2 linked regions of the Drosophila melanogaster genome follow. The protein of the gene in region 1 purifies or fractionates together with the protein of each later gene. This does not show direct contact. Each region holds a gene or a part of one and is shown in the gene's direction. Other genes may lie near its edges.

Evidence for each region. Proteins that work in one complex are often made in the same cells at the same time.
Region 2: the proteins of CG3088 (region 1) and JMJD7 purify together in Drosophila melanogaster (affinity purification with mass spectrometry, with the first as the bait; one large-scale study listed by BioGRID). This does not show direct contact.

What each region holds. Positions count from the first base shown.
Region 1 is NT_037436.4:9,599,846-9,602,940, reverse strand, and holds CG3088 (uncharacterized protein), read left to right. Parts: upstream 1-1,615; 5' UTR 1,616-1,635; coding exon 1,636-2,394; 3' UTR 2,395-2,451; downstream 2,452-3,095. Other genes in the region: CG3306 (uncharacterized protein), read right to left, coding at 479-1,345; CG3222 (uncharacterized protein), read right to left, coding at 2,729-3,095.
Region 2 is NT_037436.4:13,448,578-13,452,330, reverse strand, and holds JMJD7 (jumonji domain containing 7), read left to right. Parts: upstream 1-2,047; 5' UTR 2,048-2,071; coding exon 2,072-3,022; 3' UTR 3,023-3,144; downstream 3,145-3,753. Other genes in the region: cmb (combover), read right to left, coding at 3,286-3,753. UniProt on the Drosophila melanogaster protein: Bifunctional enzyme that acts both as an endopeptidase and 2-oxoglutarate-dependent monooxygenase.

The sequences.
Region 1 (3,095 bases):
TGGCGCTCTCCACTGTGTTCTCTGTGTTTTGCCTTTCACTTTCTCTGATTTCACTTTCGTTCCTTTTAATTAAATGGATTTCTCGGCCGGCTTTAATTAACATCAAATTTATCTTTACGCCCCCGTGCACGTGTAGCAATAATGTTCGGCGATTATGGGTTCATTACCCGCTGTGCCGGTGGCCTAGGCCTAAATGTTTACAATTTTCCAGGTTTAAGGTAACATTTGAGCCAAAGGTTCAATGCCGCCATGGACCCGATGACCTAGTAAAAAAGAAAAAGAAAAGGAAAGCACACACCTTTAGGCCTAAGTGGATTTCCATGTTCGCCTGCAGTTTTCGCGACTTGGCCATAAATCTAGAGCTCCTAACATGGAGGCGTTGGTCACAGAATGTGGGTCAACCAACGATTTACAATATATTAATTTAAGGCCACATCGAAAAGTAGAAGCGAAAGTAACAAAAAATTCAAAGGATCAATCAGTTGATGCGACACACGCTGCTCTCGCTCTTCGCTCTTGTCCAATTGCCATGGAACTCCTCATGACGCAAACCCATGGCCTGAGCCTCCGACGTCGTGGAATCCGTAGTGCTGGCCAGATGGAGACGCTCCGAAGCGAAGCTATCCAAGCTGGTGGAGTGCTTACAAGGATGGATTTTGGTCATGAACTCCCTTTGGCTGCAGCCTGCATTCTCCTGATTGTTCCGGATGATCTCACGGGCAAAACGGGCCAATAACTTCTGTTTGTGGTGACGCTTGCTGAGTGGTCCATGGGCACAGTTCTCTCGGATCCAGCGACGAGCCTCCCGACATCCTAGATATATACTCTGGTTGCTAAACGTCTTTGTATCCAACATGAAGCCACGATTGCCCAGCAGTCCGAAGCCCAGATCGAAAATATTGCGACCCAGGTTGAGCGGATTTGGTCCGTCCTTGGACTGGAACTTATTCGGACCGACGGCATCCATAGGCTCCTTGGTTTCCTGGTAGAATCGGCGATCCTCCGGCGTGCAATACGTCCAGGGTTTGAAACTCATCGTGTAATGATCCTTCATCTCAAAGTCGACGGGCAGACTATCATTGAAGTTAACCTGATCGATCGAGACCAGTCTGCCATTGTGATGGGTTACTTGATAGGTAACGCCCAAGGAATCAGGAATTTGTATGGTGCCTTTTCCGTGGAAACGATTGTTGAGAAACTCTCCCGTGTAGCATGTCCCATCCGGATAAATGTAGACACCCATCTCCTGCATGCCCAACTCATCACTGGGACCAACGTATCTGGATCCAGTCAACAGAATATCAACCTGGGTAATGCTTGAAGATTTTGTTGTCTTCTGCTCCATGATTTTTAGAAAGCTTATTTACACTGTATACCAAAAATAACAATTTTAAAGTTGAGTAAATGTTCGTTGAAATGGGTGTTCAAATAATTTACTATATATTATTTGAGATAACAAGTTTTGCCGAACTAATATGATGCCACTAATGGCAATTTACTTAAATAATTATAACTTAAATGAGTAACGCCCCTCAAGATAATCAAAGAAATTTCACTAATGTTCGCTAATTACCCAGTGAATATCTATATAAACTCGTCAGTTTAACTAGGCAGTAACAACCTTCGCTTGAAATCATGAAGCTATTGGTAGTTTTCTTGGGTCTCACTCTCGTCGCAGCAGGAAGTGCTAAGAAGGATTCCGAGGATCCTGATCACATTATAACCAATGGAAGCCCCGCTTATGAAGGTCAGGCACCCTATGTGGTGGGCATGGCCTTTGGACAGAGCAACATCTGGTGCAGTGGCACTATTATAGGCGACACCTGGATCCTTACATCCGCTCAGTGTCTAACGGGCAGTTCCGGAGTGACCATCTACTTTGGAGCCACCCGGCTGAGTCAGGCCCAGTTTACGGTGACAGTGGGAACTAGTGAGTACGTTACGGGTAATCAACATCTCGCCCTGGTTCGAGTTCCTCGAGTCGGATTCAGCAACCGGGTCAACCGGGTGGCCCTTCCATCACTGAGAAATCGATCCCAGCGCTACGAGAACTGGTGGGCAAATGTCTGTGGATGGGGAGTGACCACCTTCAGCAATGGACTCACCGATGCGCTGCAATGCGTCGACCTTCAGATAATGTCCAATAACGAGTGTATCGCCTTCTACGGATCCACCACCGTCTCCGATCAGATCCTGTGCACCCGTACGCCCAGCGGCAGATCCACTTGCTTTGGCGATGCCGGCAGCCCCCTGATCACCAAACAGGATTCCACCGTGGTGGGCATTTCCGCATTTGTGGCCTCCAACGGGTGCACCTTGGGATTGCCCGCTGGATTTGCTAGGATCACCAGCGCACTGGATTGGATCCATCAAAGGACTGGAATCGCCTACTAATGGGTCAAATAGTAGCAACATTTAATAAAAAATGTCCAATACCTGCATAGATATTTTATTGCTTATAAGGTCTTTTCTACTTTAAAAAAAAATTGGCTAATATACAGCAAAGTCCGGTGGGTTGTACTGAATACTAATGCAAAATATACTTAAAATGAATATGATCCTACTGACCATTAAACTATTAACAAATACTACGAGTATTCTAAGAAACTTTAAAAACGTTGAATTTTATTTTTCAGATTACAAAGTAATTGCATTCATTTTCTCTCCGAGCTCTTAAGCTTAAATTTTAAATTGAAAAAAACATATATAAAGACATTGATCGGCGGATCTACAACTCGAATATGGACCGGGTCATGTCCATGTAGCTATTGCGGCGTATTAGATTAGATTGCACCACATTTATGTTATCCGCCGTCCGTTTCCTCATCATGTTGTTGGCCGAGCGGTATGATTCCTCAAAGTTTAGGACCAGTTCATCCTCGCCAAAGCTGTCCGTCTGGCAGCTGGAGGGTCCACCCGACTGCGGATTGCGTACATCTGAGGTGCTCGACCATCGGCGTGGTCTCTTCACCGTCTCCATTTTGGCGCAAGGATGCACGCGCTTGAACTCCATTTGATCCTTCTGCTGTTTATCCAACATCCCAGCATAGGCACGCACACACATCTCCGTCTCCCAGGCGGGATCGTCGACGGGC
Region 2 (3,753 bases), 3.8 Mb from region 1:
CCACTCGGGGGCGATCGCAATTTGACAGTGCTTATGACGGCGCAGCCTCTGTCGCCACAAAGAAGTACGCGCTGGCATGCAGCGAATGCAAGTGCGAGTGCAACTGCGAGTGCAGCGCCACGCGACTGACTCATTTCGGGGCTTGCCATGCAGCAGCAACAACTGTGCGAAATTTAAATAAATTGTGGAAAAATGCATTGCTCTGTGCGAGTTTGGCATTGTTTCCCCAACTGGCTTTTCGGCTTTCGGGTTTCGGTTCACACACCAATTGTTGTTGCTGCCCCTCATTTTTTTTTTATGACGCTTATCAGTTTTCAGTTTCGCAGGCCGAATTTATGTAAATCTTACAGCCAGTGATGGTATTTTAATTGCGTAAGAACTGTCATACGCACTGTTGGCGTTTGTTGATTTTGATTCTCTTTTTTTGGAGGGTATATGCGCTGCAGTCTATGGTTTGTAATGCATTGAAGGGAACTTTCACCGGAAGTGTCTATTATAGCCTATATCAGTTAAATAGCTATCAACATAAGACTCTATCAATCACTTTGGTTTATTTTTAAGCAGATTAGATTTGAAAATTTGTCTGATTGGAACTGTGTGTTTAGAGTCACAGAGTCTGATTGGCAAATTAAGACATCAATTTATTTATTTAAGCATAATTTTTTATGTTTCAGTTAAGTTAAACATTCTTTAATCGTTAGGGTGTGTAAACTTCGACGTTTGCAAGTATTTGCTTCAAAAGAGCATCGTACTTACTCTTTCACAGCCGCTTCATTGGCGTCCGACTGCTAATTGGACTGCAATTGGATTTAGTAATTCCGAAGACCGATATTTATAGGCCACGGAGTTTGCGTTCTTTTTTGTTTGCGCCCAGCTTCGCGAAGCGTGGCTACCAAAAATAATTGTTAGCTCTATTAAGACCTATTGGCTGGGTAGATCCAATTCACGCGGCACTTGGAAAGTTTGGTCACGTTCTCCTGGCAAAATGAAACAAACGCAGTGCCGCTGCAAAACTAGATATTCTCCGTCATTTGCGATTCCTGCATTAATGAAGCACTCGCTGTGCGGCGCGCGAATGTGCGATAATTTATTAGTGCCACATTTGCGACACAGATTTCGATTTCGGACCGCCGCCGGTGGCCACCAAGTCAATTCAATTTCCTCACGCGCACACCGCCTGACCCCTTTTGGCCACAAATAATAATGCCGGGCCTATGTCAGTCTATAAGTCTATCAGCACCAAATTTCGCCAAATCCCGTGGCCCATCGACACGATCCATTTAGCCACCCATCCATCCATCCGTCATCCGCCACCTGTTGCTCGAATCGCACCAGCTGAACTTCGAATCCGCGCGAATGTCGGGCATGCAAAAGAGGTGACGACCCTGATCCTCCTCTGAGTCGCTGGTGAAATCAATTGTATTTCACAAAACAAATAGAGCACCGACCGTATTCGAAAACAATTTGTTTCTATCACAAACACTCGACACGCGTCGTCTTGTTTGCATTCCAGTCCGCTCCACTTCCTATCCGACTGTCCGCAGCTTCGCGCGCGTCTTGAAAGTCCCGCACTCGCAAACACACTCGCGTCCAGTGGGACCGCGCCGAAAGCGCTGGAAAATACCAAGCGACTTGCAAATAAATACCACAGTTCTCAACACCATTGCAGTTTCAGAAAATACCACTTATATTTCTATACCACCAAATTCAAATTAATTATTAAAAGCAAAATCAAAATCAAAATGCACGCTAGACAACCTCTATAAGATAGATAGTAAGATCTTTCTTTTCTTAGCATTTTTGCATTTCACCGACGCGAATTTGACCCTTATCGATTTTTTCGGAATACCTTGCTTACTTACTTTAAAAACGTAACAAAAATTACAATAATAAATGTTTCAATTTAATTTGTGTATAATATATTATTTATTTAATACGTCATTTGGTGAAACTAATTAAATTCACTGCAGCACTTCAGTTTAACTTTCACTGAAAACCAGAACCCCACATTACACTGCGCTGATAAGGTCCACTCTAGCGGAAAATGCGTTAGTGCGTGTTGTTTACCGGCATGTCCGAGGTCGAAAGAGCTCTGGATGTTCTGCTCCAGGAAGCGGAGGAGCTGTGCATCGGGAGCAGCGTAGTGGAGCTGGACAGGATTCCAACCGCCTTGGAGTTTTGTCGGGAATTCTACTCCAAAAACCAGCCGGTGGTCATTCGCAAGGCACTCAATTGGCCCGCGATTGGCAAATGGACGCCAAAGTACCTGATCGAGGCTCTCGGGGACAGGAGCGTGGATGTGGCAATCACCCCGAATGGCTATGCCGACGGCTTGGCCACTCAAAATGGACAGGAGTACTTCGTTTTGCCGCTGGAGACGAAAATGAAGCTGTCCGAGGTGGTCCGCCGCCTGGATGATCCCACTGGTGCTGTCCACTACATACAAAAGCAGAACTCTAACCTCAGTGTGGACCTACCGGAACTGGCTGCTGATCTGCGGGTCAGTGATCTCGACTTTGCGCAGCAGTCCTTTAACAAACCGCCTGATGCTGTTAACTTTTGGCTGGGCGACGAGCGCGCCGTTACCTCCATGCACAAGGATCCATACGAGAACGTGTACTGCGTGATATCCGGTCACAAGGACTTCGTTCTCATCCCGCCGCACCAGCTTAGCTGCGTACCGCGAGGAATTTACCCTACAGGCGTTTACAAGACCTCAGATAGTGGTCAGTTCTACATTGAACCGTTGAGGGATGAGGAAGGCAGCGATCAGTTCACAGAATGGGTCAGCGTTGATCCCTTGTCACCCGACCTGGCCAAATATCCGGAGTACGCCCGGGCCAAGCCTCTGAAAGTACGTGTTCACGCGGGAGACATCCTATACCTGCCCAACTACTGGTTCCACCATGTGTCCCAAAGCCACAAGTGCATCGCCGTGAACTTCTGGTACGATCTGGACTACGATAGCCGGTACTGCTACTACCGCATGCTGGAGCAGATGACGTCCGCAAGGAGTGGCTAATAGAATCCGGAGAAGTATTTATTCTCAGGGATTGTTAGGTGAATTCAAAACCCTTCTTGTTTTCAGTGTATTTATATATATTATTGTTACATAATTTAGTGTTAAATAAAAAACTGATACCCAAAATGAGTTGCGAACTACGACTAAGGACACGACCATAAAAGATTTATCTTTTCCGAAATTCGTAAATGAAATATGAAATATCCGTACAGATGATGACTTCTTAAATAAGGAATGTTTGCTTTGTTGGGTTATTCTCTAGTCTATTCGAGACTGACGTCCTGTTTTTCTGCGCCGGAAGGCTCCGCTGCAGCCTGTCCATCTGCCTCCTCGTCGGGATTTTCGTTGTTCTCGCACTCCAGTTCGCCATTTCCCGCGGAGGAGACGTTCTTTTGGTCCGCCTCGGCCAAGTCTGCATCGTTATTCGAGTCCTGCGACTGGGATTGGGACTGTTTGCGCACACGCTGGTTCTTCAGCTTGGCCGGACTGGCTCCAGAAGGTGTCACCTTCGACTTGGTCTTGCAGCTATCCTGCGGCTGTTCCACCACAAACAGCTGCTCCAAATAAGAACGGTACCAAAGCAGGAACTCGTCCCGCTGTCGTGGTATGTCCATCTTCTTGATCTTGGCATATATGCGTTTGGGCGAAATTAGTGGCGAGCTGGCGGTCGAATTCTGGGCAGCAGTGGCCGTCAGCTTTGATACCTCTGCCAGTAGGGAGTCATTGATGAC